4 linked regions of the Yarrowia lipolytica genome follow. The protein of the gene in region 2 binds, or shares a complex with, the protein of the main gene of each other region. Links are inferred from orthologs where the notes say so. Each region holds a gene or a part of one and is shown on either strand. Other genes may lie near its edges.

Region 1 (2,676 bases), about 370 kb from region 2:
AGTGACTAACGCAAGCATTCATGGTACAGATGGGTGATCCCACAGGTACAGGCAAAGGCGGGGAGTCGATTTGGGGCGGCAAATTTGAAGACGAAATCAAGCCGACGCTGCGACACAACTCCAGAGGCATACTCTCCATGGTCAACTCCGGCCCCAACACAAATGGAAGCCAGTTCTTTATAACTTACGACAAGCACTTGAGTCTGGATGGCAATTACACTGTGTTTGGGAAAATGATCGATGGTGAGGACGCTCTAGTGAAACTCGAAGGAGTTGAGGTAGACAAAAAGAATCGACCAGTCGCCCCTGTATTCATCAGGAGTGTGAGCATTCACGCGAACCCATTTGCACAATAGCACATGGAATGGAGAGCAAACACCGTACAGCCACACATCCCTAACCTATCACGCAGAGGGCATGGTCACCAAACTACGACCCAGTCACAGTACAACGAAATACAAGCATCCTACCTCTTCACATCTATAATTAACTATGTACAAATCATGGCTTAGTCATCGGACTTCTTAGGCTCCTTGCCTCGAGGCTCAACGGCTCCTCGTCGGGTCTTCGTCTCCTCGAAAAGAACCATTCGTTTAACTGAGTTAGTAAACTGGCGTGGTCAGCTCTCTGGGACCACGATCTCATGGAGACGATCACGAGAAATCGAGCGTCCAGTGCCACACCCACTAGCCGATGCTGCATCGCGACACCACTGCGATCACCTCATCCACTGCAACGGGTCTCAGCCCTCGACAGCCTCATCTTTCCAGTAACTCACCTATAGGGTCATACTTCACTTGAGTGATGGGACGAGCCACACGAGGTCGGAAAACGGTTCGCATGACACCGGTTTTCGCCGAAGAAAAGAGTTTGATGACAGTGTTCTTGCTTCGTACTGTGTTAGTAAAGCAGGGGGAGGTTTCTGTGGGCGCCAACAATACCTACCAGCCATGTTGTGTTCTCTTCTGATCTGATGTCAAATTCAAGTGGTGGTTCAAGATGCGTGTGATAATTTTAAGCGGGATTAAGGTTACATACCAGATTGGCCTGTTTGTCATCACGGACACAACTCAAAACCACCAACACAGAACATGAGCGGTCATATTGGGAAGATATCTGGGAAGTTGTTTCTTGATGGGCAATTTGCTACGTTGGCCGATCTAGAGTCTTTGGACCAGCTTGAATCCGAGCTTCTGGAGAAGGAGGAGCGGTTGAACATTGACATCACTGAAGCACACAATGAAGCCTCCAGTTTGCTTGTACAACATGCACAGGCAGTCCACGACTCGGTTGAAGAGGGTGACAAGAAATCAATCATTGCGGCACTGGAAGACCTCAGCAAGCATGAGCTGGTCGACACCAACAAGGATGTACAGACTGCAATCAAGAAAGCCGAGAACCTGGCATCCTCTGAACACCACATCGGCAACCTCCTGTCTTTGCAACAAAACTACAACACTTCAACGGAAACCGATTCAAGTGCCAGGATCAAAAGCGCAATTCAAGAATATCTGGAATTGAACCGCAGAGATGTTCCTACTGCGGTGGAAGCTTTACATAAGCAATGGAGGAAAAAGCTTCAGAGGTCCGCGCACACTGAGCTTCAAAGACTTTCGCAGGAGGCAGAAGAGGAGCTGGTGAACTGCCAGTACCCTTCAAAGGAGTTTCAGCCATCAGAACGGCTGCTATCGACTCTAGAAGAAATGATATTCCTTGACAGCTCTCTTAGAACCCAGTCGACAGCTGACCCCCAAGGGGTGCCGCTGCAGGCTTTCTTGGTTTTGACTGCGCCTTATGATATCAGATTACGGTTCCATTTCGAAGGAAACAAAGATACGAACCAACCTGACAAGCCTGAATGGTTTTATTCTTACTTTCTAGACATTGTTGAGGAGCAGGAAAACTTCTTGCAGGAACACATGCAACCTCTGTTGGGTGACAGCGACAAAGTAGCTCTCAATGAGTTCATCTGTGCATTGATTCCATCGGCAATCCGCAAAGCCTCGGTGTTGTTCGATGCTCTCCGTGATACATCTACAGAGCTATCCCATCTCCTCTACGAAACAGTAGTGTTTGAGACCGCTCTTAAAGAGCGTTATTTCTACAGCCCCAACAGAGGAAACTGGGTGGGAATTTCAGGGTCTATTCTCACGCCTTCGAGGTTTGATATTTGGCTCAATGTTGAACGAAATTTTGCGGTTTCGCGGTTTCACGCTATTATTCAGCTTCCCGACGCTTGGGAAATTGACTTTGATGGCGTGGAAAGAGGTGCGACCAAACCAACGAAGAGTGCGCTAATGGTCAAAGATCTGCTGGAGGGTGTCACTGACCACTACAGAAGTCTGGCTAGTGTCACATACAGACTCAAGTTCTTGATAGGTATTCAGACGACAATTTTGGATCTTTATCACGAGCAACTGCATGAACAAAATCTGCTTCTGGAATCGAACATATCTCTATTGTCGAGGGCTCTTGTGGGAGCCGCTGATAAACAGAAAACGGGGGGATCAGAGGGTATCTGGAGGGTGTGCAGAATTTTTGGAAGTGCGAAGTTCATGATAGAGACCCTCCAAGTTTGGGGTGAGGACGTCTTTTTTCTGGAACTTTGGCGCGATATAACCTCTCTCAACAACTCCTCGCGAAAAGAAGGTGGTATCGACAATGATGCCATGCAGA
Region 2 (3,089 bases):
TTCAGGTCCGTAATTTTCGAACGTTATTGCATATCTCGCATAAACCTTGGCTGGGTAGTGTGAGGATGCTGAGTACGAAATAGAATATATATCCTGGTGAATAGTACGTGTTTGTGAAGAAACCGTGTTTCAGTTGGCAGATAATGTCTCTCAAACAACCTCTTTGGTCTCTAATTTGGATCCAGTACCGAGAATATAGCGCACGAGTACACAGGTCCAACGTCGTAAAAAAGGAGTCATACGACCTATGATCCAGCTTGCAATGGCATCACAAGTACAGTATTGTACAGTATGTGCCGGTATATACTGAGATATCGATATACCCCATAGTAACACCTTGGTTTGCACTTTACAACGTCTAGCAAACAACAGAGATTGCTCACCCTTCCGATTCGTAACTCTTCACTGGAACCAAGGTTTCGTCACTGTACTGGCGCGTTTGTTGATACAAGTCTTCTACACACATCTACATTTCACACTCTCAATATCAAATATGTTACTATATACATTTATCGTCGTCGGTACTTGACAAACTCCTCCTTCTTGGAGTCCTCCAGGGCCTGGAACCGCTTGGTGGGGTTCTCGGACATCTCCTGCAGGTAGTTTCGGGGGGTGGCCTCGGGGACCTCCTGGGAGCCAACAACAGGCAGATCGCCCTTCTTGATCACCTCCCATCGGCCCGGCAGACGCCTGGAAGCTCGCTTGAAGGCCTCCTTGACAACCTGGTCGTGCATCTGGCCTCCAACCTCAAATACCACCTTTCCAGTGGGCCATCGGGTGGCCATGTTCTCGATATCTCCCTTACCCTTACCCATTCGGATATTGACACCCTTTCGAGTGACGGGGGTGGAGAGCAGAAACCGTCGGTAGAGCTGAGAGCCGGGAGCGGCCTTTCGAATCAGCTGAGCAATGGCTCCGTCAGCGGCCTTGAGCTGCTTGTCAAACAGCCGCACACCCTCAGAAACAAGACGCAGGCCCCACTGGCCAAACTCGACCGTGGAGCCTCGAGTGGATCCTCCGGTTCGGACAGTGATTCGGCCTCGCTGGGCCTTTCGTAGGTTCTTGAATCGAGGTGCATACTCGTGCTTGTGTCGAATGGAGCCCAGAGTGGGAACAGCAAAAGGAGACACGACAGTAGGGCGGGTAGCTGAGTTAGTACGGCCGTCAGAGGAGCACGGTATTGAGGGTGGTCGACTCGGATAGACCTGTTGGAATGACAGGGATTCCTTATTCCCTAGGTTCCTTAAGTTGTGCAGTCATTCGTGAACTTCCGATCCGAAATTTTTCACTCTCACCGTGTCGTTTGGCACGGTCGTATTGTCGCTGAGAATCGATCTGCTGATTGCATGGCTTCGCTGAATGCCTTCCAAGTCTCTTCCTTCCCCATTTCTAGCGTTACTCACCCCGTAGTCCGTTTACCAGTCGAGCCAGCATTTTGGTGATTGTGAAAAAATTAGCTCGTGTATTTGTTCAGATGGCTGATGAGTAAGCTGCACGAAGTTTATTCGACAGCAGGACATGCAGTACTTAGCCTTTAGTTGAACATGCTAAGTAACTCCCAACTGCTCAAGTACACCACACAAGGGCATCAGACAGGGGATGGGGACCGGAAAAAACATGAGCACTTGCTTAACATACAGTCATGTGACCTTAATATACCCCTCAACCACCACAAGCCCTTCCAACCCCTCTCTAACTCAGCGTATCAGTACATTCGTCGACGTTCGAACTGCCGGGTAACTGGGCCAATCTCATATCGTCACGTGATTCAGGATTCTGAAAATATTAATCCCAACCTAACCAAAAATTGCAGCATAGAGCAAATCGACCACTACAAGTAATCCAGCATGGCCAAATTCGACATCAAAGAGACATATCTGCGCTTTCTGCGGGACGACCCCGACATCACCATGCCTGTCGCGGCCATTGAGGCCCTGGTCCAGCTGCTCAGTGAGACCGAAACCAGCACATCAGCCGAGCTGATTCAGACTCTCAAGGAGGCGAGCGCGGAGCTCAAGACGTCTGTGGACAACTCTATGTCGCTTTCTGCAGGCTGTGATCTGTTTATGCGATTTGTGTTGCGAAATATCCGGGAATATGGCGACTGGGAGGCCTGCAAGGGCCATTTGGTAAAGAACGGAAGGCTGTTTGCCGAGCGAAGTAAGGCTGCTCGAAAGACCATTTCGGAAAAGGGTCTAGCATTTGTGCGGGATGACGATGTCATTCTGGTCCACTCTTTCTCGCGAACGGTACTGGCCCTTCTGGAACATGCTGCTAAGAACTTGGTGCGTTTCAGAGTGTTTGTCACAGAGGCTGCTCCTAGTGATCAGGGTAAGCGAATGGCCAAGGCATTGAGGGAGAGAGGCATTCCCGTGAGTCTAATTGTGGACAACGCCGTCGGATCTGTGATTGACGAGGTGTCCAAGGTGTTTTGTGGTGCCGAGGGAGTGGCGGAGTCTGGAGGAGTCATCAACCACGTCGGATCATATCAGATTGCCGTGCTAGCCAAGAACGCAAATAAGCCCTTCTACGTGGTCACCGAGAGTCACAAGTTTGTGCGAATCTTCCCTCTGGCCCAGGCCGATCTGCCAGACACCAAAAAGATGTTCCACTTCACTGTTGAGGAGCCCGAGGAGCAGAATGCCGACAAGGGTCTGTCGCCAGTCGTCGACTTTACGCCTCACGATTACATCACTGCACTTATCACAGATCTGGGAGTTCTCACTCCAAGTGGCGTTTCTGAGGAGCTGATTAAAATGTGGTATGAGTAAGACTGACGGGAGTGGCACAGTGCGTGGAGTATATAGATAATGGAAAGGTATGCAATGGTTCATTGGATAATGGAGGTGCGGTCAGGGGAATGATTACAACAAGATAATCATGTATAATTTATTCGTACACAATTGTACTTTTACAAGTGCCCTCACAACGGACGGACTAGCCAATTCTAGTCGACTTCTACTTATAGTCTGCGACTTCTTCAACGTCACCAGGGATTTTCGCGACATCTTCGACATGTTTAGGGATTCCAACAGCCTTGGCTTCCTTTTCCTTGAGAGCCACTTCCTCCTCCTCAATCTGCTCGGTGA
Region 3 (2,812 bases), on a different chromosome or scaffold from region 2:
GAGTCGTTAACGATATGGCCAGTGTTGAAGGCGGAGAATTGAGGGACCGAGGGAGGATCGGAGGAGTGTTTATTGTTTCATTTGGTGATATTGTCAGATGTATCAGCTTTTAAGCAAATTTAAAACAATATTGGTGGATAGATAGTGTTCATGTTGAGTCTTAACTAATGGGACAGTTTAGTTGATACTGTTTATTGGAAAAAGGAGATAAACCTCGAGAGATGAGATGTTCCACTGTATAAGCTACTGTAATTTAGAGCAAAGGGGAACAAATGATCTCACATGGCCGCACTTGTGTATTTGGCATTGATTCAGAAGCCGCCTGACACTGTAAGGAACTGAATGTGACCATGCTCGAATATTGGAACACTGGAGTTGTGACACAGCTGCTCGCAAGCTGCCCATGTTGGCATGTCACATACAAGCACATGTAGTGATCCAGCCCTCCATCATTCCTACTCTCAGCTCTCCTTCCATATCCTTCCATTCACTATATACATTTACTTGAAGAGGAACTTCTTTCGCTTGGCGGCTGCCTTCTTGACGGAGGCCTCGAGATCGCCAACATCCAGACGCTTGTGGCCTCGGATGTAGTACAGACGCTCGGCGGTGTACTTCTGGGTGGCCCGTCGGATAATCTTGACAGACTCGACGGTTGGAGAGAAGATCTTGAATCGTCGGTCGATTCCGATCTTGGTGATCTTAGATCGCAGCAGCAGGTTAGAGGACAGTCCTCGGAAGTCCACCACCATGGTGAGGCCCGTGAACAGAGAGCCATCAGTGGTCTTGATCTGCACAATGTCTCCGGGCTTGATTCGGTCAGCGGATTTGGGGTTCATCAGCTCCATCTTGACGCCCTGGGGATCAAACTGCTTCATCAGCTTGTCAGTGACGTGTGTAAGAGCGTTCTCGGTACCCAGACGTCGGGGGTGTCGCTCGTAGATGTTGACGGTCTTTGGCTCTCGCTTGATGGTCTTGAATGTGGCCATCTGCATCACGGGCAGACGCACCGCTGCCAGCGATGGACGGATCAGTCGAGCCAGCATTTTTGTGCAAGTGTGGTGATGCTGTATACTGACTGTTGGTGTGCTCTAGGGCCTATTTTGGTTAAATTTTCAGTCGCGGTTAGGGTTTGCGGTTTGTAATGCTGGGAAGATGAGTCCGAGACGATGAGAAAACAAAGGGAGAGGGGCTATAAGAATGAATGAGCCGATGCGTCCGTGGTGTTCCTCTACCATATGGCTCGAATACTGTAGTAATTTTCGTCTTTCTACAATGAGTTTGCCTTTGTTGAATCGTTTTGTAATGTTTTCTTGTTTTTCTACAGTTTAGGGCTCTCAAGACGGTACAGAAGAGAAGATCGTGACAAACAAATTGATACCGAGAATGTTTTTGTGAAGATGGCGTCTTGGTGCTGTTATTCTACCCATATTATTTTCTCACAACCAGTTACCAACCGCTCTAATTCAGTCTCATCCAGTCCAAAGTGCTTATTCTGGATCGGTACATACATACAAGTAATGTAGTGCTTGGTCGAGTTTTTCCTCACTCGTACCATGCACCATAATCTGAACCATAATATAATTTGTATCACCAACATCCATCCAGAGCACAACACCACGGTACACAAAACCCTCGCCTCGCCACCACCACCGACATGCCCACTATATTCATCTCCACCCCCAGTGGTCTGAGAGATATCCAGAAACACGTTTTGGCTGATGATGATGTCCACGTCGCTATCGAAAGCGCTCTCAAAGAACTGCCCCCTAACGCCACAGCCAAGGGATATCTCAGCACCAGAGGAGGCCAGAGTCTTGAGAGCCTGTCTGCTGCAGCTGGTGACATCTACTTGCGCTGGAATATGCGTCTTTGCGGTGGAAAGGGTGGTTTCGGGTCCATGCTGCGAGCCCAGGGAGGACGTATGGCCCGAAAGAAGAATAGAAAGAAGACGGAGACGGAGAACGACTCTTTTCGAACGCTGGACGGCCGCCGAATGAAGAGTATCCGGCAGGCCAAGGAGCTTGGAGAGTACCTCAGCACAGCCGACGAGATCAAGAAGAAGGAGGCCGAAGAGAAGAAACAGAAGCTGCTCAACATTCTGCAGAAGGAAAAGACCAGTGGGTCCAGTCGAAAGAGCAAGTTTGAAAACACACGACTGCTGGAAGACCATGAAGATGCCGTTCAGAAGATGCGAAAGGACGCGGAGATGGCTGCTCTGGCTGTATCCGAAATTGATACTGCCTTGTCATCTTCTGCAGGATCTTCCAGCTCGAATGTGAAGGCCAAGGGTGGAGATTTCTTTGGTATGGACTTCAGCGAATCCGAAAGTGAGTCTGAGTCCGACACCGAGTCTATATGAGCCGATAAAGACTCTCTGGGCCTCTACCCGTTAACAATTATTTATAAAGAGATTATTTATTGACAAGCAGATGCCAGCAGCGAAGGAGTAGGGTTCCTGGGGATGGTACTGTATGACATCGAAGCATACATGATAGATTGTACAAAATGTTCTCCACTTTTGGAAGTGCTCCTGGCTTCCATAGAACCGCCGTATGTACAGATATCTCTGTGTGTGAAACAACACGCACGCTATTCAAAACGCCAAGGGTAGTATAACAGCACAGATATCCTAATCGATCCAATGTTTTCGTTCGATCATTTGTGTCCGAGAATTTTCTATACAACAGATTCCTCATTTATTGCACTTTCTTGACTCCATAGATTATCACTACTGTACCGTGCATGACACGTGACTCTCATCAAAATTTAGGTCCAATATGCAAAGTTTGAGAAAACTCCAGCATCAGTT
Region 4 (2,892 bases), about 170 kb from region 2:
TTTGTGTATATAGTTAACGTCATGATTGAGGCGCGTGGAGTGTAGCGACGCGGTTGTACTATAGAGCGGTTCTTGATACGAATGTGCACTCCATTGCGAGAATACTCTCAGTTCCGTTCCTTCTAAGAGCTGTACCACTCTACAGATCTGCGGGTAACACCGATAACAGAAGGACTTGCGCCGTGGTTACTACTGCAATCTTCTATGCCTCCGTTTGCACTCGTTATGATGTGTGACCAGGAGCTGACTTGTCTCTATACGAATCCTGTGCATAACGGGCTGTTCGTACGAGGCTTGGAGTCATTTCGTCATTGAGAAGCAACTCCATGACCCTCACCGCTGTCCTAGGTCTCCAGCCCCTCACCAGTGCCCTAGGTCTCCAGCTGCCTCATTCAAACTCCCGCACTGGTGTCTCACTCTCAATCAATCAATCATACCTTTTGCTATGTACATTTTATCCTAGTGGTGGGACCATCTGTGGGGTTGTGTAACGTCCTGTTGTGTTGGTGTCCACCACTACTTCTTCACCTCGGCCTTCCACTCAGACTGCCAGATTTTGTTGGGGGGAGTCTCGGTAGGCACTCGCATTTCGATGGGGAACTTGTTGCCCTTGACTCGCAGCACGGCGGCGTTGAACAGGAATCCGTCCACCTTTCGCAGTTCCTCGCACGTGTCTTGCAGCATCTCATACTGCTGTCTGTGTTGCTGCTCTCGGGCCAGCTTTTCGGCCAGCCGCTCCTCTCGCCACGCCACCTGCACGATTCGGTGTCGAATCAGATCCTCCTGGCTGAGCTCGAGCTTCTTGGGAGCCATTCGCTTGGGCGACATGGCCGACATCTGGTTCACGAGCTTTCGCGCTCCAGGGTCCAGATCGTTGGCCGTCTTGGTTCGCTTGGTTCGCAGGGCCAGCTGGGGCACCCGCCGAGCCACACAGGTCGTTCGCACGGTTCCAAACATTGTGGTCTTGTGTGTGGTGTGGTGTGGTGTTGCACAGATCAGGTATTTTTTCAGCTGGCAGAAGGGGACATGCAGCGGCCGTAAGTTCGATTTGCACCTGGCAACTTTTAAAATTGAAATTGAAGTTGTTGGGGGTTCGATTCCGAGGGAGGTCGTTCCAGGAAAAGAGATACAGCAACAGTCACTCCGCGATTCTTCCTCAATACAAACATGAATTCTGACATTCAAACAGCCTGTACCTGTCCCCGTACTAATACAGTACAGTATGTACTAGACATTACTAGGTTGTGATTGGTAAGCAGAGCTTGCTGTCGCTCACTCGTACTCGTATAATACAATAAATAATCTACTTTTTTCTAGTAATAAATATCGAGCTGGGTTTCTGTCGCCGAGGCGGAGGAGAAGCTCTGGTTAGTGGTGGTACAGATGGCGGGGGAGGCGCTTGCGCGGGTGGCAGAGGCGGGGAAACGTGCCGATTGATTGGGGGAGGAGATTGTGGTGGAGTGGTCGAAGTGACGACTGGCGCAGTCTCGGGTCCAGGCCCACGCCTGAAAATACCCATATCTGTCCGCTGCACCTTGGTAGGCGAGGCGCTGCCGCTCGAGTGTCCAATGGCGTTTGTTTTGGGCATGGGAGTGGGCCGTTTGAGAGGTCGCTTCAAGGATGTGGTGCTCATGGCTTCAACAGGAACCGGAATGGACGAAATGCGGTGGTCCGAATTGAAGCCTCCATTGACACGGACGGTATCACGACCCGCAGAGGGCTGGGGGTCACGTGTAGGGTCACGTGGTTGGTTTCTGTTTGTGCGGTCGAAAAACGACTTGCGGTTCGTTTCCAGAAATGTGGGGTTGCTGGGGGAAAACATGCTGCCCTTGGAACGCATTTCCAGTCGCAATCGACCCACAACAGACGACTTTGCTCGCTGAATGTATTGTCGTCGCTGAGAAGACTCAGCCCGCGGGTCCACGTCCAACTGGGTGATCATGATTTCCGACTTGCGTTGTTGTTCACGTGCAATGTTTCGTTTGAGCCGATTACTGCTCTCGCGCAAACGAGTCTCCTTTTCCTCCTGGTAGCGCAGGTATGTTTCCTTGAAGTTCTTTTTTGGTAATGGGCGGTCAGAAAAGTCGCGACCGATGAAGTGCTTCCATACTGGTTCCGAGTCGCGTGCAATATGTGGAGAGATGGACTCAATGTGGAGCATTTGGCGGCACTTGAACTTGCGGAGAATGGGCTCCACCAAGTGGTAGGGCGTATCGCCGATATCTTGGATTTCTGAGTTAGTAACCGTGATGAGTGTGGTCGGAGGTACGGGGTAACGAGTGGACAACACCCTACAGGGTGTTAGGAGGTTGGAAAGAGCCCATGGAGCAGTTCTGGCCGTGGCATAGTTCAGAGGCGCCAAGGGTAACAGTCTGAGGTGCTGTCTATCGAAGCATACCGACATTTGAGCTGAATCCCGGTCATTTTTCCGCTTATTGTTGCAGCTCAGACACACTGACAGCGAGATTAGTTGAGAACATGGCTTGGTTTGAAGCAACTAGTTCTGAACACCCTGGCCGGTGGCACAGAGACAACCTCAGAACCTGTCTTCACAGCCAGAGCCAGTCACAGGACCAAGAACGGAGGTCGGTTCAACTCAGTCTGTGTCACAAGGATGACACAAATGAGCATATAATGGCCAAGAGCGTCGACAGACACACAAAATGACACGGCGTCATGCTCGCGAGACTCAGTCTCGGCCTCCACGTTTCCATTCTCTTCTCACCTAGCAAAGGTTAACCAAATCGTCCCTGACTCCTGAATGACGTGTCCATAACCTGTGTTCAAATCAGGAGTCCCCAAGGGGTCTTGCTGAACGCTCTGACCTGCTTTACACGCACAACCTCGAGCTCCCGTTTGTGTCTTTTCCGATTGTGTACTCACGATGACTGT

What was found.
Region 1: YALI1_C25301g (region 2) and YALI1_C21634g share a complex: the UniProt entries of both Saccharomyces cerevisiae proteins name them as parts of the mitochondrial large ribosomal subunit. The link is inferred for Yarrowia lipolytica from reciprocal best matches to the Saccharomyces cerevisiae genes MRPL16 and MRPL39.
Region 3: YALI1_C25301g (region 2) and YALI1_F31744g share a complex: the UniProt entries of both Saccharomyces cerevisiae proteins name them as parts of the mitochondrial large ribosomal subunit. The link is inferred for Yarrowia lipolytica from reciprocal best matches to the Saccharomyces cerevisiae genes MRPL16 and IMG1.
Region 4: YALI1_C25301g (region 2) and YALI1_C23548g share a complex: the UniProt entries of both Saccharomyces cerevisiae proteins name them as parts of the mitochondrial large ribosomal subunit. The link is inferred for Yarrowia lipolytica from reciprocal best matches to the Saccharomyces cerevisiae genes MRPL16 and MRPL28.

What each region holds. Positions count from the first base shown.
Region 1 is NC_090772.1:2,162,866-2,165,541, forward strand, and holds YALI1_C21634g (mitochondrial 54S ribosomal protein bL33m), read right to left. Parts: upstream 953-2,676; coding exon 946-952; intron 896-945; coding exon 779-895; intron 598-778; coding exon 509-597; downstream 1-508. Other genes in the region: YALI1_C21626g (uncharacterized protein), read left to right, coding at 16-356; YALI1_C21639g (uncharacterized protein), read left to right, coding at 1,092-2,676. UniProt on the Saccharomyces cerevisiae protein: Component of the mitochondrial ribosome (mitoribosome), a dedicated translation machinery responsible for the synthesis of mitochondrial genome-encoded proteins, including at least some of the essential transmembrane subunits of the mitochondrial respiratory chain.
Region 2 is NC_090772.1:2,528,868-2,531,956, forward strand, and holds YALI1_C25301g (uncharacterized protein), read right to left. Parts: upstream 1,349-3,089; coding exon 1,296-1,348; intron 1,243-1,295; coding exon 510-1,242; downstream 1-509. Other genes in the region: YALI1_C25307g (uncharacterized protein), read left to right, coding at 1,848-2,771; YALI1_C25336g (uncharacterized protein), read right to left, coding at 2,959-3,089. UniProt on the Saccharomyces cerevisiae protein: Component of the mitochondrial ribosome (mitoribosome), a dedicated translation machinery responsible for the synthesis of mitochondrial genome-encoded proteins, including at least some of the essential transmembrane subunits of the mitochondrial respiratory chain.
Region 3 is NC_090775.1:3,172,711-3,175,522, reverse strand, and holds YALI1_F31744g (mitochondrial 54S ribosomal protein bL19m), read right to left. Parts: upstream 1,047-2,812; coding exon 501-1,046; downstream 1-500. Other genes in the region: YALI1_F31733g (uncharacterized protein), read right to left, coding at 1,418-2,173. UniProt on the Saccharomyces cerevisiae protein: Component of the mitochondrial ribosome (mitoribosome), a dedicated translation machinery responsible for the synthesis of mitochondrial genome-encoded proteins, including at least some of the essential transmembrane subunits of the mitochondrial respiratory chain.
Region 4 is NC_090772.1:2,353,898-2,356,789, forward strand, and holds YALI1_C23548g (mitochondrial 54S ribosomal protein mL40), read right to left. Parts: upstream 958-2,892; coding exon 517-957; downstream 1-516. Other genes in the region: YALI1_C23563g (uncharacterized protein), read right to left, coding at 1,304-2,404. UniProt on the Saccharomyces cerevisiae protein: Component of the mitochondrial ribosome (mitoribosome), a dedicated translation machinery responsible for the synthesis of mitochondrial genome-encoded proteins, including at least some of the essential transmembrane subunits of the mitochondrial respiratory chain.